Saccharomyces cerevisiae S288C: one gene and its partner. The protein of the gene in region 1 interacts with the protein of each later gene in a pairwise test. Each region holds a gene or a part of one and is shown on either strand. Other genes may lie near its edges. The genes, in order: MLS1 and PEX9.

Evidence for each region.
Region 2: the proteins of MLS1 (region 1) and PEX9 interact in a two-hybrid assay, tested with the Saccharomyces cerevisiae proteins (2 studies listed by BioGRID).

What each region holds. Positions count from the first base shown.
Region 1 is NC_001146.8:404,358-416,239, forward strand, and holds MLS1 (malate synthase MLS1), read left to right. Parts: upstream 1-2,000; coding exon 2,001-3,665; downstream 3,666-11,882. Other genes in the region: DCP2 (decapping enzyme complex catalytic subunit), read right to left, coding at 1-1,207; ubiquitin-conjugating protein DMA2, read left to right, coding at 3,984-5,552; YNL115C (uncharacterized protein), read right to left, coding at 5,762-7,696; DNA-directed RNA polymerase core subunit RPC19, read left to right, coding at 8,414-8,842; DEAD-box ATP-dependent RNA helicase DBP2, read left to right, coding at 9,282-10,554, 11,557-11,882. UniProt on the Saccharomyces cerevisiae protein: Malate synthase which takes part in the glyoxylate cycle. MLS1 activity is essential for cells to grow on oleic acid as a sole carbon source.
Region 2 is NC_001145.3:303,254-315,135, reverse strand, and holds PEX9 (Pex9p), read right to left. Parts: upstream 4,929-11,882; coding exon 3,384-4,928; downstream 1-3,383. Other genes in the region: STB4 (Stb4p), read right to left, coding at 131-2,980; SPO20 (Spo20p), read right to left, coding at 6,454-7,647; SOK2 (Sok2p), read left to right, coding at 9,543-11,882.

The DNA of each region.
Region 1 (11,882 bases):
TCGGATTCGGAGGAGCATTAAAATTAGGGGGGACCGGAGTTGGAATAGGGTTAGCGCTATTACTATTGTTAGTTAATGGTAACATAAATGGGAAAGGTGCAAAAGGCTGGCCATTCATTGTCGCAAACAATTGAGGATTTGACATGAATACGTTAGCCATTGGCATAGTAGGTGGTATAACATTCTTATTGTTAGCAAACGGTTCAGAAAGAGATGGAAATATTGAAGGTTGTTGTTGAGAAGAAAACGATGACTGCTGATCCTTCTGTTGGTTGTGTTCTCCTGATTGCTCTTTCAAATGCTGAAGCTCTTGGCTCGAGGGTACCTGTCCGTTGGAGACCGCATTATTATTACTGTTAGCTTGCACTGCAGTATGTAACATATTCAGCAACTCTCTACCGGGATCAATCTGCTCCTCCTTAGTGATACCCAACAACAATTTCAATTGTTCTTCCGCATAGGATTTCAATTGATCTTCATTTTTTATTTGCCTCTGATGCCTTAACCACATTGATAAGGGTCTCATCATGGAATTAATCAGATAATACTTGATATTTGATTTGTACATTGTTTTAGAAATTTTCTTAAAATCGAACCATTCTATCTTATCAATTTCATTTCTAACTTGAGGTTTAAAATTGAAGACTTCTGAAACACCAGATATCAAAAATATTTTGTAATTTTTACCTTGAATATTTCTTTCAATGAATTGGTTGTCGTCAATATAGTCCGTCAAATCGAAACCAATTTCTTCTTTCACTTCTCTAATGCAACAATCTATGTCATTTTCATCTTTAGATATCTTCCCCCTTGGGAATGACCAAGAATCCGATTCAGTACCCTGTACCAATAAAATTTTACTCAGGTTCTCGTTAAATATGGCAGCGCCCCTCACCGGTATACTTTTCTTATACTTGGAGAATTGCTGGAGTGCCTCATCCACTCTTATGTCCCATTTCCAAACCAGAGGACATAGTTTTATGATCAATTGAGCAAATGATTTAATCTTTAGGGAGGGTAAAGTTGGATTCATCAATTTGATGAAATCCGTGTAAAACCATGAGGCTTCTTCAAAATGAAATAACTCTCTCTCGACACTCGATAAATCTTCATTCGGACAATTTATAATAAAACGTACTAATAAGTCCTCTAAAATTCTATCAACAGAAGTAACGTTCTCCAATGCGTGTCGTAGCGGCAGTGACATTGTCTAATGCGAAGGTACTTTTATTTTTTTCAGATTCAAAGCAATATTATTTAGACAATTGATACTAAGTGAGCTTAAGGAGGATTAAACAACTGTGGAATCCTTCACAAGGATTCAATATTTGTTTTTCCTGGTTATTTTGCCATCATTCAACTTTCCTCAGACGTAAAATTCGTGCTTAGTGATGTCTCAATATTCCCGCAGGGTAATAAAATTCAATAACTATCACTATATACGCAACAGTATTACCCTACATTGCTATCGGCTCAATGGAAATCCCCATATCATAGCTTCCATTGGGCCGATGAAGTTAGTCGACGGATAGAAGCGGTTGTCCCCTTTCCCGGCGAGCCGGCAGTCGGGCCGAGGTTCGGATAAATTTTGTATTGTGTTTTGATTCTGTCATGAGTATTACTTATGTTCTCTTTAGGTAACCCCAGGTTAATCAATCACAGTTTCATACCGGCTAGTATTCAAATTATGACTTTTCTTCTGCAGTGTCAGCCTTACGACGATTATCTATGAGCTTTGAATATAGTTTGCCGTGATTCGTATCTTTAATTGGATAATAAAATGCGAAGGATCGATGACCCTTATTATTATTTTTCTACACTGGCTACCGATTTAACTCATCTTCTTGAAAGTATATAAGTAACAGTAAAATATACCGTACTTCTGCTAATGTTATTTGTCCCTTATTTTTCTTTTCTTGTCTTATGCTATAGTACCTAAGAATAACGACTATTGTTTTGAACTAAACAAAGTAGTAAAAGCACATAAAAGAATTAAGAAAATGGTTAAGGTCAGTTTGGATAACGTCAAATTACTGGTGGATGTTGATAAGGAGCCTTTCTTTAAACCATCTAGTACTACAGTGGGAGATATTCTTACCAAGGATGCTCTAGAGTTCATTGTTCTTTTACACAGAACTTTCAACAACAAGAGAAAACAATTATTGGAAAACAGACAAGTTGTTCAGAAGAAATTAGACTCGGGCTCCTATCATCTGGATTTCCTGCCTGAAACTGCAAATATTAGAAATGATCCCACTTGGCAAGGTCCAATTTTGGCACCGGGGTTAATTAATAGGTCAACGGAAATCACAGGGCCTCCATTGAGAAATATGCTGATCAACGCTTTGAATGCTCCTGTGAACACCTATATGACTGATTTTGAAGATTCAGCTTCACCTACTTGGAACAACATGGTTTACGGTCAAGTTAATCTCTACGACGCGATCAGAAATCAAATCGATTTTGACACACCAAGAAAATCGTACAAATTGAATGGAAATGTGGCCAACTTGCCCACTATTATCGTGAGACCCCGTGGTTGGCACATGGTGGAAAAGCACCTTTATGTAGATGATGAACCAATCAGCGCTTCCATCTTTGATTTTGGTTTATATTTCTACCATAATGCCAAAGAATTAATCAAATTGGGCAAAGGTCCTTACTTCTATTTGCCAAAGATGGAGCACCACTTGGAAGCTAAACTATGGAACGACGTCTTCTGTGTAGCTCAAGATTACATTGGGATCCCAAGGGGTACAATCAGAGCTACTGTGTTGATTGAAACTTTGCCTGCTGCTTTCCAAATGGAAGAGATCATCTATCAATTAAGACAACATTCTAGTGGGTTGAATTGCGGACGTTGGGACTATATTTTCTCTACAATCAAGAGATTAAGAAATGATCCTAATCACATTTTGCCCAATAGAAATCAAGTGACTATGACTTCCCCATTCATGGATGCATACGTGAAAAGATTAATCAATACCTGTCATCGGAGGGGTGTTCATGCCATGGGTGGTATGGCTGCGCAAATCCCTATCAAAGACGACCCGGCAGCCAATGAAAAGGCCATGACTAAAGTCCGTAATGATAAGATTAGAGAGCTGACAAATGGACATGATGGGTCATGGGTTGCACACCCAGCACTGGCCCCTATTTGTAATGAAGTTTTCATTAATATGGGAACACCAAACCAAATCTATTTCATTCCTGAAAACGTTGTAACGGCTGCTAATCTGCTGGAAACCAAAATTCCAAATGGTGAGATTACTACCGAGGGAATTGTACAAAACTTGGATATCGGGTTGCAGTACATGGAAGCTTGGCTCAGAGGCTCTGGATGTGTGCCCATCAACAACTTGATGGAAGACGCCGCCACTGCTGAAGTGTCTCGTTGTCAATTGTATCAATGGGTGAAACACGGTGTTACTCTAAAGGACACGGGAGAAAAGGTCACCCCAGAATTAACCGAAAAGATTCTAAAAGAACAAGTGGAAAGACTGTCTAAGGCAAGTCCATTGGGTGACAAGAACAAATTCGCGCTGGCCGCTAAGTATTTCTTGCCAGAAATCAGAGGCGAGAAATTCAGTGAATTTTTGACTACATTGTTGTACGACGAAATTGTGTCCACTAAGGCGACGCCCACTGATTTGAGCAAATTGTGATCTCCCTTGCCCCAGTGTACACATATATAAAAATATATTCATGCCTATATGATTATGTATCGGAATCCAAAAACTTATCTTTATATTGCTTCGTTTCGTAGTTAGCAATGAATCATCTTATCATGATTCCTTTTTTTGTTTTGGCCAGATTAATGTATCACGGTCGACGGCGAAGGCATCAACCATTGTTGTGGAATTTCAAACACAATACTTGATGACTCCAAACGTGGGCATATATTTTGATTTGAAAAGAAGTCGAGAAAGTATAGCAACGCATTGTATACGTTTGAAGCTTTCAGCAAAGGATATACCGTGGAAATGTACACGCCTATCCCTGCTAATACCCCTGCTCCCACTGCACCAACTTCATCGATGACGTCCAACTCTTCATCCGCATCAAATGCCAACACCACTAGCAGTAGTGGCATAAACCCAAGGAACAGAGCCAGTGGTACTCCATCCAATGAGCGGGCTCGTCCGGCGTCGGGTATCAGTTCGTTTTTGAATACCTTCGGAATTAGGCAAAATAGCCAGACAGCTTCTTCTTCTGCGGCTCCTGATCAGCGTCTATTCGGCACAACCCCATCTAACTCACATATGAGTGTGGCCATGGAAAGTATCGATACCGCTCCGCAACAGCAGGAACCACGTCTGCATCATCCTATACAAATGCCTCTGTCGGCCCAGTTCCACGTTCATCGCAACTATCAACTCCCCATCTCCATATCTCTCACTGCCCCTACAACCACAGACCACCAGCAATCATCTGCGCATAATTTCGAAGGCAACAATGTTGGTAACGTTCAAGAGTCTTTGAATCAGCGGCAGCCTAACGGTACTAACAATACCACAACCTCGATAATTTCCATGGCGCCAGCGGCTACAACGAGAAATATAGTCGGTGGTGCAGATGGATCTACTATTGTTAACAACAGTCAGGAAATGTATAAGAATTTACGTCACTTGATATATGCTGCAAACCAGCCAAATGGGACCGAAATTTTACATTTGGATTTACCTGCAACAAGTGCAGAGGAGTCAAACAATATGTTCAATGTAGATGAGGTCACTTTGAAGCAAAGGAAAGATAAGCATGGTCTTTTTAGTATAAGACTAACCCCATTTATTGATAGTTCGTCCACGACAAATCAAGGTTTATTCTTTGAACCGATTATAAGAAAGGCTGGCCCTGGATCCCAATTGGTTATTGGCCGCTATACTGAGCGTGTTCGCGATGCAATTTCTAAAATACCTGAACAATATCATCCAGTTGTATTTAAATCCAAAGTTGTTTCAAGGACACATGGTTGTTTTAAAGTTGACTCTCAAGGTAACTGGTATATAAAGGATGTGAAATCATCTAGTGGAACTTTCTTAAATCACCAAAGGCTCTCACCCGCTTCCTCTTTATCGAAAGATACCCCTCTTCGTGATGGTGATATTTTACAGTTAGGAATGGATTTTAGAGGTGGCACGGAAGAAATCTATCGTTGTGTAAGGATGAGGATTGAGCTAAATAGATCATGGAAACTAAAGGCAAATTCGTTCAACAAAGAAGCTTTACAGCGTTTGCAGAATTTACAAAAATTAACTACAGGTATTGAAGAAGAAGATTGTTCGATTTGCCTATGTAAGATCAAACCGTGTCAAGCAATTTTCATATCACCATGCGCACATAGCTGGCATTTCCGTTGTGTAAGAAGATTGGTCATGCTCTCATATCCGCAATTTGTTTGCCCCAACTGTAGATCAAGTTGTGATTTGGAGGCCTCCTTTGAAAGTAGTGACGAGGAAGATGAAAGTGATGTGGAAAGTGAAGGTGATCAACTGGTGGATCAACTTAGCGTCTTAATGGAAACTTCAAAGGATGTTGATAGCCATCCTTAAGGTCAAAGAAAATACACAGTTTGAAAAATAAAGAAAAACCACCGAACTCCACATCTCGTACCTTAATATTATTTTAATTATTCTCTTAGTATTTATATATTTGCGCCGTTTACATATTTGACTTATTGTTTTCAGGAATACAATACCTCCATCGTTGGCAGTCAATTTTGCTTTCACATATAAAACTAAAAAAAAAGTAAAGAACTCGGTTAATCCTCGGTTAGTTTGCCAAGCTCACCTATTAATCTTAATAGGACTTCTTGAGTTTGTTGTTTGCCCAGACCATACTTATATATTTCATGCCCACCTTCAACTATTTTCCATTCTTGAGTCTTGTGAGAAATTTTGGTCAAATCTCTTTGCCAATCGCCCCATAATGCCGACTTCTTCACCATTTCCTTAGAGCTAACGATGCTTGTCTTCACATTTTGCAAAGATTCTGCATTGTTTGTCACATCTCTGTAACTTAGAATTGAACTCGTCACGCTTTCCAAAAACTTGGAACGCAAGAAACGTCCTTGATATTTCATATCACGCCCATATATACGTTCTTTAGACCCATGATGAGCTAGTAACCATGAAGTCTGTAATCTCCATCCTAAACTCGACCAAATGCCTTTCCACCATAATCTAAATTCGTTATGCCTTTCTATCTCCGAAGGTAACCAAGTCTTATCATGGTTGCGGCCATCCCCATCATTACCATTGCCATCGTCGCCATCGTCGCCATCACCACGGCCTGGAGGTAGTAATCTTTGAATGTAGTTTTTTAACAATAGTTCTTCATGCCATGATTCAACAAGCATCATGCTATCCACAATATCGACATTCTTGGCGGTAAATACTCTTGTAAATAGCCCGCCAAGGTCGTATCCTACTGTAGTGAAGGGACCTTTAATTTTTGCATCTTTGATCAATGCGTACCTTAAAGATTCCGCAACCATCGCAATAGAGATTGGGGCGGGAGGAGAATCGCTCAACCCGTACCCTGGTCTATCGTATAGACAATATCTTTGAATTTTGTCTAAATGATATAGTTCCTCAATCCAGGTGGCAGAAAGGTAACCAGTATCATAACCTCCGTGTTCAAACAAGATGATAGGTTGCTTCTTATTTTCAGACAAATCTGTGTTGTTTTCTTGATCAAATACGTCACCATAACAAGTTATATGCAACTGATAGGTTTTAGCGGCATCTACGTAATGGAACGCCTCGTACGAGGGCGACTGAACGGTTATTGGTAATTTGTGAGTCAATCTGTAGGTATCCAATGTCGTTAAAAGTGTATTCAGGGTGAATAAAGCGAAGAATATTAAAATTAAAAACTTAATAGTATTCCTGAACCCAATGGATACCCATTCTGTCAATGTATGTTTGTTTTGGACCAGCTGCGAGCGGTGGGTGGGGGTTGGCGACCCAGAGCCATATTGGCTTCTGTCCCTGTTTTCGGTACTATTTGTATGGTTTTCGTTGAAAGTACTAATATTAGCATCATCAATTCTGCGTTCCTCCAATGGCTCATTTATTGAGTTGTTGTAAAACAAGAGATACCAATCTAATATTGCCCCAATAAAAAATGAAAACGAAGTCCACAAATATGTAAACGTGCCCACAAAGCCGATTCTTTGCCTAGTGTATTTAATTAGATAGGTCAATGCTAGATTGAACAACGTCAAAACACAGAGAGTTACATTTAAGCTGTAATCTAAAGCTGAGTACAGTCCCAGCTTATTAAACCAGAGATTGAAAGAATTAGCTATGATCGAGATGAATATTAAAGTCAAGTCGTTAAAACTTGCGTACCTGTTACTGAATCCGAAAAGAATATTGATATTGAAAAAGAAATCTGAAATCAAAGTGGTGACTAGCCAGATGGTGTTAATTAGAATTAGGATATTTAATATCCATTTGGAGTTATGAATAAAGATTCTATAACCTTTGCGAATTTGAAAGAGACTATCTTTGATGAACCCATCGGATTCAATGTCACGACCTTCATTAACTGCTGGGCCATTCGCGGATCCTGCACCAAGGGTCCGGTGGTTGTTGTTCAGCAACGGTTGCGCTTCTGGGTGTTCACTATCTATATCTGTTCTTTCCATTCCCGTCCTTGCCGGATCATTATCTAAACCATTAGCCTTCATGATCTGTTCGCTCTGATGCCTACAGTTCTTTCTTCAATGGCTTTCCTTTCCTTTCCTCCTTATAGAATATAGCAAGGCATCTAACTTTTAGTTTTTCTCTCATCCCTTTAAACTGCACGATGGTTAAAATTAGGGGTCCGAATAGCCTTGCAAGGAATAGATTAAAGAACACTATATATGCATAGCCACTTCAAAACGTGCTGAGAACATGCCATCAAGGTTGACCAATACGATTGCTGATTCGACAACTTCTACATTACATAGGCATATACATATCAGAAAAACGTGCTTTATAGGTACATTTTTTAATTCCTTAAACATAACTTGCTTCTATTTTGGGATAGTTCCTTTTCTTTGAACTACGTTTTTTGGGCAGAAATATAAAAAAAAACCGAAAAAAACGGCACGCAAGAAAGCTTATTCAAAAAGACGCAACAATATCATAGATTATTCTAAGTACCAACAACGTGATAAACTTTGTTCTAATAAAGCTACATCTTATCTCTTCTGTACAGCTTTATTGGGGTGAATCATATTTACTTCAATCCGGGTAATGGTAAACGTAACAAGTGATAGAAATATTCACCTGCGATGAGCTGGAAAAAAAAAAAATTTCAAAAGAAAACCATACTAATGCTGAGGTATAAAGTAACGAATTGGGGAAAGGCCATCAATCCAAAGTCGGAAAAATTGAACTTCACATAAAGTACCAGGCAAATGACTGAAGACATCGAACAAAAAAAGACCGCTACAGAGGTAACACCACAAGAACCAAAGCACATCCAAGAAGAAGAAGAACAGGATGTTGATATGACTGGCGATGAAGAACAGGAAGAGGAACCAGACAGGGAAAAAATTAAGCTTCTCACACAGGCAACATCTGAAGATGGAACTAGTGCCTCTTTTCAAATTGTAGAGGAGGATCACACGCTTGGAAATGCCCTTCGTTACGTTATAATGAAAAATCCAGACGTAGAATTTTGTGGTTACTCGATACCTCATCCTTCTGAAAACCTATTAAATATCAGAATTCAAACCTACGGTGAAACGACCGCGGTGGATGCTCTTCAAAAAGGGCTAAAGGACTTGATGGATTTATGTGACGTTGTAGAATCTAAGTTTACTGAAAAAATCAAGAGCATGTAGATGTTACGGATCGACTCAAAGACCCTCTGTCACTCTGAAATTTCTAATAATTATGCACACCACGCTAGTATAGATACAGCTTGATTTGTGTATCCCGTTTATAGTCGTGCTATTTAAAATCTATGTATAATATAACCAGATAAAAATACACCTTCGTACAAGGTGCTAATAATGTTGAGAATTCGAAATTCCTTTTTAAAGGCGTATTCCGTATTGAATGATTGAAAAATTTATTTCTTTTTTTATTTCTTTTTTTTTTTTTTTTTTTTTTTTTTACGCCGATGCTCATCGCAGAAAATTTTTCCTTCAGTTTATTTGTCTTATAAAAAGACTGTCCTACGCTCAAATAACTTATACTTTTCTGTATCTCATTCAAATTATTTTCTTGTCAACAACCTGTAACAGAATTAAGCACTATTAAGGCAAATTTAGAGCAAATATGACTTACGGTGGTAGAGATCAGCAATATAACAAGACTAACTACAAGTCTAGAGGTGGCGACTTCCGCGGTGGAAGAAACTCTGATAGAAACTCTTACAATGACAGACCACAAGGCGGTAACTACCGTGGTGGTTTCGGTGGTCGTTCCAATTACAACCAACCCCAGGAATTGATCAAACCAAACTGGGATGAAGAATTACCCAAATTGCCAACTTTCGAAAAGAATTTCTATGTTGAACACGAAAGTGTTCGCGACAGATCGGACAGTGAGATTGCTCAGTTCAGAAAGGAAAATGAAATGACTATTTCCGGACACGATATTCCAAAGCCAATCACCACTTTCGATGAAGCTGGTTTCCCAGACTACGTTTTGAATGAAGTGAAGGCTGAAGGATTTGACAAACCAACTGGCATTCAATGTCAGGGTTGGCCAATGGCTTTATCTGGTAGGGACATGGTTGGTATTGCTGCCACTGGTTCCGGTAAGACTTTGTCTTATTGTTTACCAGGTATTGTTCATATCAACGCTCAACCATTATTGGCTCCAGGCGATGGACCAATTGTTTTGGTTTTGGCTCCAACTAGAGAATTGGCTGTTCAAATTCAAACAGAATGTTCCAAGTTTGGTCATAGTTCCAGAATCAGAAATACCTGTGTCTACGGTGGTGTTCCAAAAAGTCAACAAATCAGAGATTTATCTCGTGGCTCTGAAATTGTTATTGCTACTCCAGGTCGACTAATTGATATGCTAGAGATTGGTAAGACTAATTTGAAGAGAGTCACTTACCTGGTTCTTGATGAAGCTGATAGAATGTTAGATATGGGTTTTGAACCTCAAATCAGAAAGATTGTTGATCAAATCAGACCTGATAGACAAACCTTGATGTGGTCTGCCACTTGGCCAAAGGAGGTGAAGCAACTAGCCGCTGATTACTTGAATGATCCAATTCAAGTTCAAGTTGGTTCTCTAGAACTATCTGCCTCCCATAATATTACTCAGATCGTCGAAGTTGTTTCTGATTTCGAAAAGAGAGATCGTTTGAACAAGTACTTAGAAACAGCCTCTCAAGACAACGAATACAAGACATTAATCTTTGCTTCTACGAAAAGAATGTGCGATGATATCACCAAGTATCTAAGAGAAGATGGATGGCCCGCCTTGGCTATTCATGGTGACAAAGACCAAAGAGAACGTGACTGGGTTCTACAAGAGTTTAGAAACGGTAGATCCCCAATTATGGTTGCTACTGATGTGGCCGCCAGAGGTATCGGTATGTTAAAATTTTCTCCATTTTTTTATTGATTTTATTTTTTTTTGTTACCCCTAACGATATTACAGCTATTTCCTAATGGCTTTTAATGACATTAATGACTTTATGACAACCATGATAGTACAGAAGAGAGACCTTTTTTCTTTTTTTTTTTTTTTTCTTTTTTTTTTTTTTTTCTTTTTTTCTTTTTTTTTTTTTTGAGCCTTTTCGAATCTAGACTCTATGTGAGTCTATTCTCGATGGGGAGTATCGGAAATTGAATTTTAATTCGAATGACTTCTAATGCATCACTACAGAAAACTAATATTGGGAGGATGAGAAAAATTGACTTTAATTAGTCGTTTTGAGAGACGGGAAATTATAAACTCGGAGAAGTGTATTTGTGTTCATGATTTGCACTTCATGTCAAAAGAAATTTCGCTTTTTGACATCGGCGCAAATAAACAAGGAATTGGCTTTTCAGCTTATTTCTAGAACGCATACATACGCTTCGTTGATCGTTGTTTTTTTCAATGCTTGGCATTTGTACAAGGGTAGATTGTTTTATTGGAAAAATAATAGTATATTCTACTTTGAAATGCCGTCATCCTTCTTGACTATTGTTATTCTCATTTTGTGTAGTTTATGCATTTTGTAGTTATATTGAGATACTGTTGCATCCCAAGTTCGAATTATTAAGAAGTGCTGATAAAAATGGAAAATAACAAAATAAAAGGATTTCAACCATATTCAGAAATCATTTACTTTGTTTTCCTTTTTTTAAGTGCTAGCTTTCATTCAGTTTGAATAAGGATTCTGGAGTATTGATGATTAAATATTTCGAATTCTTTAATAAAAATATAATTTCTGATAATCTTCAAGCCAGGGGGAAATTTGAGACAATGTTGGGAGTCCAAACATGAATTTGTGGGGGGCATGAAAATAAAGTTCATATACAGAATAACGAACCAAATTACTAACAGTATGCTTTGTAAACGTTTGTTTACTTCTTTATTTTTTCAGATGTCAAAGGTATCAATTACGTTATCAACTACGATATGCCAGGTAACATTGAAGATTATGTTCACAGAATCGGTAGAACTGGTAGAGCAGGTGCTACTGGTACTGCTATATCTTTCTTCACCGAACAAAACAAAGGTTTAGGTGCTAAATTAATCTCTATCATGAGAGAAGCTAATCAAAATATTCCTCCCGAATTATTGAAATACGACAGGAGATCTTATGGTGGCGGTCACCCAAGATACGGTGGTGGTCGTGGTGGTCGTGGTGGCTATGGCCGTAGAGGTGGTTACGGTGGTGGCCGTGGTGGTTACGGCGGTAACAGGCAG
Region 2 (11,882 bases), on another chromosome or scaffold:
TTTGTCATAGCAACGGACCAACATGTGGTAAGGTGAGGTTGACTCAATTTTTTCAACATCTTATATACAATATAATAATATGTAGGTAAACGTGTCCATAAAATGGTTTTATGGAATAGAAAAAGAATCCTTATGCAAAATTTTGGTCAAACCATAATAAATTGGAAAATAAATCATCATCAAACACATTAGGAGAGTTCCCTATTTTACTGACAGTATCAAGAACATCTGAGGGCAATCCAGTATCAGTACCTAGATTTGCTACTGCACTTTCCGGAGAAATTGCGATTGAACCGTCGAAGTTAGTGGTATTATGAGACCTAGTAGCTAATGGTACTCTTTTGCTATTGTTATGTGGATTTTCTTGTCTTTCATCAGCATTTTCTTCTCTTTCACCAGCATCAACTTCAACATCCGCATCATTATCGCCAACTTTCTTGAACTGCTCAAACTTATTTCTATTAGGGGTGTCATCACCATGATCAGTTCCGAGAGTAGCTTCCAATTGCAAAGCAGAATCTCTCAGTCGTATGCAGAACATATGATTCAGCATTTTCAAACACCACAAGCACTCAGGAAGCATTGAAGGCCGATTTTTTGGCTTAGAGCACTCTAAGGTTCGCCATATTTCTTGGCAGCTTTGCATGATAGCTTTATTTTGAGTTACGGCAATCCCTGCGTGCAGGTAGATAATACATATTAAATTTACCGTGAATAGTTGAGAAAGGTTTAACCACCACGGAACAAAGAAAAGATTACTTCTCGTAATTTCAGCCAAATTTTCAATAGCCATTTGACAATGAGAAATTAACAATTCAGTATCGACGACATATTCTAGGGATTTATTATTTGCGGTAGATGAGGGGGCGATTAGACAAAATAATTGTCTTACTTCGAAAGTCAGCCTTATATCCAGGTATGTCATGAATGGTTGAACTTGATAGAAGTAACGATAATTGTCGTCGTACGCATTGGTTTGACTTCCAACTATAAAGGTGTCATACCATTGACCAAGTTGGCTGCGCAATTGCACGGTCTCGTTCAAATTTAAATCCTGTGCGTCTCTTTTTAAAAACTGTGTCACTATTATGGACAAATCAAGCATTTGAAAAGTCTCTTCGTGAAACCAATCATCTTCTTCTTGTAAAAATTTCTTTGACTTCACTAGATTCATCTGTTCGCACATCTCGCTCGCGGGTAATGATAGTTGGTAGAATCGACCCATTTGAAAACTTATCAACTTATCCATTATAAAACAACACCAGAAACAATGCCATGCTTTTGATTCATCATAAGTGGAATGGATCTCAGGAAATTTGTTTAAATATAGACTCATCCCATTACACATGTTCACCGCTTGACTTAACGCGTTCCAGCACGCCGTCTGTCTGTAACAGGTTCTGAAATAGAAGGTTATCAAAAGCCACGATTGTATTAGTTCGAATGATTCCCACTCAAAGGTCAGCGTGTTGATTATTAAATAAGCGTATTTGAATAAATTTTCCTCTATGGAGGGTTTTTTGATCAAAATAGATTTTTCCTCGAATGTGATATTTAAGGATGTGTTACTGTAGGTTCCTTGCCCTTTCTGACCATCTAGATGCCCTTCTCTGAATCTTAGTGTAGTAGACAAAATTAGATAAAGCATGGAAGTGAATAGATTCGCAGATGAATTATTTTGTTTACCTTGCCGTAGAAATTTATTGTTATATTGCTGCCAAAATGTCGCTTCGTGAATGATACTGAAAACAGGATTGATCTCATCAAAATAATACCTTAGTAACTTATTGATTAAGGATAAGTGAACAGGGTCATCAAAGTCGAAAAATTTAGACTCATGCCTTATATTTTTTTCTTGGCTTCTAAAGTCACCCTTATACTTTAAGTAATGGCCTCCTGACAAGTTCCAACCATAGTTTTGAACTCTTGGCCTTTTCAACTTCGCGTACTCTATTGTCTGCGGAGATAGATCCTTTAAAATAGATACACCAAGGTAATAGGGCAGAATATTTTGGTAGCGTCGGTGAAACCTATACTTATCTAAAGAAAATGTCTGCCAGGGTGATTCAAAGTGATCATTAACAGTGTTAGTTATTTGAGAGTTGATTATCTTATTCTCTTTAGAATTGATGTTGTTATTATGAAGAGCCTCTGCAGAGTCACATATTGCAGACCTGTGATTCGTGTCACAGTCTTCCTGACTATTTTTCATGTTGACCACTGTCGGGTTTGCATTCACATCACTAGCATTGGTTCTAGTTGTTCTAATTGACGATTCCTTGGTCGTATTCCCCAATTTTGAACTCAATTGCAGAAGTAATTTAGCCATGTGATCCTCCGGAAAACTGTTATTGTTATTTTCTCCATTTAAGTTGCTTCCGGAATGGAATGTATGGTTTGGCCTACCGCTCATGAAGGGTAAAGTGGATGATATATGATGATAATGTGAATTTGGATTGGGAGAGTTGCTAGCAGACGAAGATACACCATCTGAGGGGGCATTTATGATAATATTTGATTTACTTAACAAGTCCCTAGGAAAAGACTCACTGGTTTCTGCATATGTCTTACTAACGTCCCGAACAGCTGATGCGACCTGTCGTCTTCTTCTTTTACGGTTTGTAGCTTTGAAATCATAACGGCATTCTTTTTGATGTTTAGAGCAGTTCAGACAAGGATTGTTACCGTCGCATTTAACCTTTCTCTTCTTGCAAAGTTCACAAGCTTTTTGAACCCTGAGTCTACCTTTTCCATTTTCTTTACTTGCGGCTGTACTAGTATCAAGTGCATCATCAGTATTCCCGATAGCTGTCATTTCTCTGAACCGTTCCTTTCTATTAGTATGGGCCCATGTCCTATCAATTTGCCGACTTCGTGCTAAAAAAAACTGAAGGAGAACAATCACTACGATGATGAGCTTGATTGCTACTGAACGATGCTCAAATACAAGTATATAATATATTTCATGATTGATACTCATGTTCAGCCGGGTATCTTTTTTCTTTGTTTTGAGAGGCTGACGGTGACTCTTTTAATTTGAACAAGGAAATGTATCATGCACGTATGACAGAGAGAAATAGTAGTACAAAAATCAAATATTACGTGAATACGTGAGATGAATAGCCGATATTAAGTAGATAATGAGAGGTTTCAGACGAAGCACATAGTAAACTCAGAAATATGCACTTGCGCGATAAAGTGAAATTACCTTCATATTCTTGCAAGAGGAACTTATATTTTTGAGAAGAACTAGCATAAGCTTGCTGTGTTTAGTGTTCCTTTACGCAATTAGCTTTTCGAACGTCCAATAGCATATTTGGTTTGTTTCAGCTTTAATTTTTTTTATTTTGAATGCACTATATAGCAAAAAAATTAACTAAAACCTAATCCATTTTGTTATAAATAGCTTTTAAGGTTGATATTAACGATTCTGTATTATGAGAACCATTTATTAGATCAAGTGAATCAAAATTTTTTGAAGCGATGAGAGCATTTTTTAAATTTTGCATAAATTTGTTTTGCATTTTTGCTTTGTTGTGTTCATATCCTTTACTTCGTAACAGTATAACTTCGATTAGCATTTTGCTTGCTTTTACATAGTCACCCTTATTCATGTAGGCGATCGCTAAATTATAACGAACCCTTGTAAAATTCGGTCTTAGTTGTTTGCATTTATTGTACGCATTTATCGCAGAGTGATACGACTTAGTATTGGCCAAAATAGCACCATATCTATTCCATATTGTTCCATTATTGGGCTTTTCCAGTAGTAAAAACTCTAAGCATTTCTGAGATTGCTTTATTTTCTGATCCGAATAATATAAGATTGATAATACTGAATATATATCATACTGATCTTTTTTTTCTATACCCATATTCAACAGGGATTCTAGAATATGCGCCAAATGGGCCTTTTTCGGAATTTTATTAATGCTATCTTTGTTTTCCCCCGCAGAAGGTTGGAAAACCTTCGAAAATTTTGAAAGAATCCATTTGTGAAAAAGTTTCAATGACTCTGATTCATTTTGTTGATTTATATGGTGAATTGCTAAGTTTTCCAATGCAATTGTATTATTTGGATCCAAATTTAAGCAATTTCGCAAAGCAAGCTCTCCATTGCTTTCGCTTTCATTTTCAAAATTAACTATACCTAACTTCAACCATGCATTTATATGGCTTGGATCTTGTGAAATGGCTGCTTCAAAGGCCATTACTACTTCGTTCAAATTGGAACCGTTGTCCATTAGTACACATCCTATTTTATATGGGTCCCGTTCCGTTATGTAGATGTTTGATTTTAGGAATTGATATGTTTGTGGTACGGATGACAGCATATGCATGAAATCAATTGTTTCTTCGTATTCTGCCACATATTCATAACCAACAGTTTTTTCTTCTACATTGTTTTCTATCTTTAGCTCATTTAGTAACTGATTTTCGATTGATTTGAACTGAAATTCCCAGCCATTAGAAACAGATGAGTGTTCATTGTAAGATATTCGACAAGGATATATACGATTTTGCTGATATGCCGTACTATAATATTGTGCAAAGTACCTATTGTGCAAATTAGCGGAGCGTTTCTCATGTTTGTTTCTACTGGGCTTGGTCACATCAGCATTTTTATTCTTGGGGAAACAAGAGAATTCCTTTGACCACTGGTTCTCAAGTCTTGAAAATTCTTTTTCGCTGACACCACTATGTTGAGATTTATCTGCCGGTAGTGCGGCCCGAAAATCTATCTTACCAATACTGCTGCCGGTTTGACAATTGGTAAAGATGTAATCTATTGTTCTAGCATCTCGCGCGGCGCTATCGTTAGTCTGAAAATCAGAGAATTTACCCAGATTATTCCATTTCAAGCCTAATCCATTGTTGATCTTATGAATTGGGTTGTCACCAGTTATGGAACAAGTAACTTCGTTCATCGTGCTTACAAAAGGTACCCTTTATTCTTAATGATTCTCCACTCAAAAAAAAAGAATAAAATAAAATAAAACGGATAAGAGTACGAAAAAAAGTGATGACCTTTTCTTTATTTATTGCCACTGTTTGGGTGAGAATATTGGGGTAAGAGCGCTTTGCCCCAAGTTTTCTGTACGATTTCAATGCGTATCAATCATCCTCTCCGGCGTTAGTAAGGTACTACCAAGGCCTCTACCGTTCCCAGGAAACTCTTCGGGTTTTGTCTGCGCCGCGCCGCTCTGATTGCTTTTCTTTTGGCGGCTATTTAAGTTCCCAGGTGCACATCAAAACCGGCAGGAAGCAAAGTAAATTAAGTTTGCACTTACAAACCCAAATAAGATCTCAATGTATTGCGTGCGCTCATATTCACATATGCGCAGGAACAATCTTGTCATATCTGAATCAGGCTGACGCATCCATGTCGTGTACATTTCTTGTAGGCTTGAAACTTGAACGGTACGAGAAACAAATTGGAAACGAATAAAAAAGTAAGAGAAGGAGGACATCCTCGTCCAAGTTGCGGTATGTATGCGGCAATGAACTACTCCGAAAAAATGCGGAAAAGAGGCATATTTGACCCAAAGCAGTAAAGAGTTTCGTTATATCAACCGTGGCGGGATAGCATTCGGTGGTCTGACAATTAATAGGATGATCGGGCTAGGGCTGGGCTTGTGGAAAAAAGGATAGTAAAAATTTTCTCTAGTAGCATACGATGTGATGCTTCCAATTTTCAGAACATGTTTGTACAATAACTCTATTATTGATTTTTTTTTTTACTAATATCGTTTGTAGGGTAGAATTATTCTTACTAAATATCCTTTTCAACTTAAACATATACGGACGCTTGAGATACACTCTTGTCTTAATCCGCTCGATCTTGGTAAGGGCGTTGTGACGCTTAATATAAAAGGCAAGCGCAGAATATAATTTTTCCGCAGCATAAGCACCCAATCAAGACAATTCTATAGGAATAGTGTGGCATACGCAGTGATTACCGGAAACCCTTCATAATGTTTTCCTTTTTCCCAACAAGATTGAACTTTGATATCGTTTTGTAACTAAAATCTTTTTTGACAAATGAAATTATATGAATTATAACTTATCAACTTTATGAGAAGCAAGTAGACTTGGTACTGTAAAAAATATAGTCCCACGACAGCGGTATCTATCTTTCTTACCCTCTTTTACTTTTCACAAAATCATGTTGATTTTTCAGTTAACCCAGTTTAAGATCATGAATGGAACGGGAAACAAATACGTAACAACTGGGAAAAACAAACCTGCCGATGTTTGAATGCACTTTATTTATGGGAAAGAGAAAGCTTTGTCTGACAACTCCGAAAGAAAATACAAAGAAGAATTGAGACCTTCAGTACTAATGTCCCCCTCGCTCTTTTTTTTTTCTCTTTCGCAAGAATATCTGCGTATGCCTTTTTAGAAACTATTTATTCAATATATTTATACACGATATTTTGTGTGTATAACAGATCACCATCTTTTCCCGATCACTTTCTCCAATCTATATCGCTTGGCCTGTAAAGCATTATCTGCCTGCTGTACATTGTTCTCGATGTCAAACATTCTAGTGTTTTGTGCTTCAAACTCTCTGCCAAAAGCGTGAGCCATAATTTTCAAGTCACCACTCACCGCTTTTATTTGTTCTAGGTTTCCGTACAAGTCGATTTCCATTTGGTTATCTTCTTCATCGGCTTCAAACTGATACTTCTGGGCATCTCTAAGAATACGCTGTCTTTCCACCCCTTGGCCATACCGTCCATATTCAGAACTTAGATTTATGGCTAAATTTTTGTCAGAATCTTGGGCTCTTTTCATAGTTTCTTGCTGTAAGTGACGATGCTTTAACTTCAAATTGTAGATCTGGTCTCGCTTTTCTCTCTCCCTTTTCTTCCTGAAGGGGTTGGGTGATTTTAATGCAAGCAGGCTTCTATTTTCATGGGCAAGTTCGTCAATCTTTCGGTCGGCTACGTTAGATTGAATTTTAAGCATGTCACAATTGCTCTCGATCTTGGTGAGTTGGTTGCTCTGACAACTTAGTTGTTGAAGAACTCTCTTTCCAGTACATCGAGCCTCTATAGCTTTTTCAAGTGTTCTGCTTGTCGTTTTTACAGATTTTAATTTAGTGCTTCTAATCTCGGACCTGAGTCTATCAACTATTTCATCCTCCTCAGGCTGGACATTCTCTAAGTTATATTGACTTTCAACTTTTCTCCACTGTGGATAGTCATTCTCATTTGCAAAATTTCCCAAATCTCTGTGAATAACGCTATCTGTTTCTCCCAAGTTTTCTTCAGGTATTTGGCACCTGTTGGACTTTGGAAAAACCTCTTCTAACGAAATAGTAGCAAGGCCATCCCTTTCGGGCACCTCATAAGAGACGCATTTATCATCACTAGTCTTAGTGGCGTCATCGAACCGACAGTTTGGGTGAAGTTGTTTGTGGATTTTATTCCTCAAGGATTTAAGCTTCACATGTAGCCTATCACGTCTTCTGCTTCCTGAACAATTGTCCATCCTGAAGGGTGATAAATATTTTGTTTCATGGGATCCTGTAATATTGGAAATAAGTACATAGCGATGATTTTGCAACTTCAGGTTCTTATGGTGCTGATTATGGTGGCGACTGTGATGCGATTTGCTAGCAAGTATTTTTCTGAACCCCATTATATATCTAAAAATGGCTATTCACAAACGGAAAAATCTAAAGTAATAAAAAAATAATAGTGTTAACAGAGAAGGTTTATCAGTAGCTAAAGCGAGCAAATTACTGGTTAACTTATCGTATTTTCCGTACTGTGGTGAATCTTATGCAAAATGAACCTGGCTTTGGCGGGAGTTTTTTTTTATGTGACACAATGGCCTTTTGCCGGTGGTAAATACGCGCTTCAAAAAGGTTGTTACACAGCGGCACATTAGCATGACACAATCTTGATCCTTTACAATTACTACACCGCCAAGTATAAAGCTTTTCCCAACCAACGTGTTTGCCAAGTAATTTTGTGTAGAGTGCGGCTGACTAACAGCCTTAACCGGGTACTCTGTTCCCTGCATTTGCATAAAAACTACAAAGAAAAGAAAGAAGGAAATACTCCGAACCAAAGAGATACAACAAGAATACTTCTCTCATTACATCGGCACCTTCCTGGGGATTAATTCCTTACAAGCGCTGAAAAAATGAAGAGATGATTCCGTACTTCAACAATGGCTTTTAACCTTATTACCCCAAGAGAGTGTCTACAGAATTAAGGCCCATTTAATTTTTACCTTCCTGTTCCTGCATAACAGACACCCCTTACCCGCATCAACAGGAGGGGAGGAAACATTGCCAATATGTCTGCGAATTGTGACAACCAATCCGCATGCACGGTGGGGGGCGGTTGAAAGCGCCTAGACTTCCCTTTTTTGGATTGCTACGTCACCTTCGCAGCGTGCACCAGGTGCATTCACCACACGAAAAGATGCGAAAGCACACCAAGCGCGAAATTCCGGTTTTTGGCTTGTTTGTTTCGGGCTCCGCCTCATCGTCTTAGCAAATCTAGACCTTGTTGAAAAATCGTGCAGGGACTCCGTACCTGCACAAGCAACGCGGCATAATACATGTAGGGATACAGCAAAGATATTGTTTCTGAATGGGCAAAACATTGCTTTCCGCAAACGGCTTTTTCTTCTCTTTCCCACCACCGTGGGTCACCTTTTTCTTGCGCCTCTTATGCCAACACACTCTTCCCGTGATGCGAATGGTAAAGAAGTTAACAAAAAACACAAAAAATTCATATTCCGATTTCTCTGCAAAGAAGCCTGAGCGGGAACTGCATGTCCGCTTGACTTGTCTTCCCTCCGGTTAGCTGTGCCTGCAGGGAAACCGCAGTAGAAGGACTGCGGAAGGATCTTTTCCCGCCGTTGATGTAATCTTTAAAGTTAATTTTTCCCTCACACAGTTTGCATTTTTCCCGCATGTTGTCCGGTTTTTCTTTCTTTTGTTGCTTTTTCTTCCGTGGGCCTGACGGAACATTCCAAGTTGAGTGCGATCTGACTAAGGAACTAGTAGAGGCTACCGCTCAGTAAGTTTAACAGTCGGCTAAGCATCGATCATCTCATTCTTTGCCTTCACTCAGTTCTTCGCAATAGTACAGTGCTGCGCAATAGACGCACGTATCAGTGATGTATTCTTTCTCTTGTCTTCACATAAAAAGTACGTAGATGTGTTGCCCGTTTGTGTTTTATTAACTTATCGAATGTGGCAAGCCGACGATACAAAAGAAAAAAGTTCATCTTTAACACTTCTTTTTGTTAGTTTTTGAAGTTTTTCCCCACTATCTTTTGCATTAGTTGTGTGTGCCTGTGCGTGTGTAAGCCTTCTAGTATAGTTGATAATCCTTTTCCATAGCTTTTTATATTGCAAGCAGAGAGATATCATTTTGTGCTGTTTTCATTAAACATACTTCACAATTGTATAAAAAAAAAAAACCTTTTTGATCTTTGTTTTCAGAAATTGAAAGTGGATTTGTTAAGCACAGTACAAAATCATCCTTATATAACCCTGGTAAGGTCCTTTTGTCATGCCCATCGGTAACCCAATCAATACGAATGATATCAAGTCCAACCGCATGCGCCAGGAATCAAATATGAGTGCCGTGAGCAATAGCGAAAGTACTATTGGCCAGTCCACCCAACAGCAGCAGCAACAACAACAATATCTCGGCCAGAGCGTTCAACCTCTGATGCCCGTATCCTACCAATACGTAGTTCCTGAACAGTGGCCGTACCCGCAATATTATCAGCAGCCGCAATCCCAGTCTCAACAGCAACTGCAATCCCAGCCTCAGATGTATCAAGTTCAAGAATCCTTTCAGAGTAGCGGTTCTGACTCAAATGCTTCCAATCCACCTTCCACGTCTGTAGGTGTTCCTTCCAACGCTACTGCAACTGCGTTACCGAATGGTTCTGCAATCACCACCAAAAAAAGCAATAACAGTACTAATATCAGTAACAATGTACCATACTACTATTATTTTCCCCAAATGCAAGCCCAACAATCAATGGCATATTCGTATCCACAAGCGTATTATTATTATCCTGCAAACGGCGATGGAACCACTAACGGTGCAACACCATCTGTAACCAGTAATCAAGTCCAAAACCCCAATTTGGAAAAAACCTACTCAACCTTTGAACAACAGCAACAACACCAGCAGCAACAACAATTACAAGCTCAAACGTATCCGGCCCAACCACCAAAGATAGGTAATGCATTTTCAAAGTTCAGTAAATCTGGACCACCTTCTGATTCGTCCAGTGGCTCTATGTCTCCCAATTCTAATCGCACTAGTCGCAATAGTAATAGTATCTCGTCCTTAGCTCAGCAGCCTCCAATGTCAAACTATCCACAACCTTCCACCTACCAATACCCCGGTTTTCACAAGACTTCGTCAATTCCAAACTCGCATTCTCCAATTCCTCCAAGATCATTAACAACGCCAACTCAAGGTCCAACCAGCCAAAATGGACCTTTAAGCTACAATCTTCCGCAAGTGGGTTTGCTACCGCCTCAGCAACAACAACAGGTGAGCCCGTTGTATGATGGAAATTCTATAACTCCACCAGTTAAACCCTCTACTGATCAAGAAACTTATTTAACTGCAAATAGGCACGGAGTGTCAGATCAACAGTATGACTCAATGGCTAAAACCATGAATTCTTTCCAAACAACTACCATAAGGCACCCGATGCCCTTAATCGCCACTACCAATGCCACAGGCAGTAACACCAGCGGCACTTCGGCAAGTATAATAAGGCCAAGAGTAACAACAACAATGTGGGAGGATGAAAAAACGCTATGTTATCAGGTAGAAGCTAACGGTATTTCAGTGGTAAGAAGAGCAGATAATGATATGGTTAATGGTACCAAACTTCTGAATGTAACTAAGATGACAAGAGGTAGAAGAGATGGTATTCTAAAAGCGGAAAAAATCAGGCATGTGGTGAAGATTGGTTCCATGCATTTGAAGGGTGTCTGGATACCGTTTGAGCGTGCCCTAGCAATAGCACAAAGAGAAAAAATTGCTGACTATCTTTATCCCTTGTTCATCAGGGATATTCAGAGCGTATTGAAACAAAATAATCCAAGCAATGATAGCAGTAGTAGTAGCAGTAGCACTGGTATTAAATCCATCAGTCCGCGTACCTATTATCAACCTATTAACAACTATCAAAATCCTAATGGTCCTTCAAATATATCTGCTGCTCAGCTGACATACTCCTCAATGAATTTGAACAACAAAATTATACCCAATAATTCTATACCAGCTGTAAGTACAATCGCTGCGGGTGAAAAGCCCTTGAAAAAATGCACAATGCCTAACTCTAACCAACTAGAAGGACATACTATAACTAACCTACAGACCCTTTCGGCAACAATGCCGATGAAACAACAACTGATGGGCAACATAGCTTCACCCTTATCGTATCCACGCAACGCCACAATGAATTCGGCAAGTACATTAGGCATTACACCTGCAGATTCAAAGCCTTTGACACCTTCTCCAACTACAACAAACACAAATCAATCATCTGAATCAAATGTGGGAAGTATCCATACAGGAATCACCCTTCCAAGAGTGGAATCTGAATCGGCATCACATTCCAAATGGTCTAAGGAAGCAGACAGTGGGAATACTGTACCAGATAATCAAACATTAAAGGAGCCACGATCTAGTCAATTACCAATCTCCGCATTGACTTCGACGGATACTGACAAAATAAAAACAAGTACAAGCGATGAAGCAACACAACCGAACGAACCTAGTGAAGCAGAACCTGTCAAGGAGTCAGAGTCATCCAAATCACAAGTTGATGGAGCTGGCGATGTCTCCAACGAAGAAATTGCTGCTGATGATACA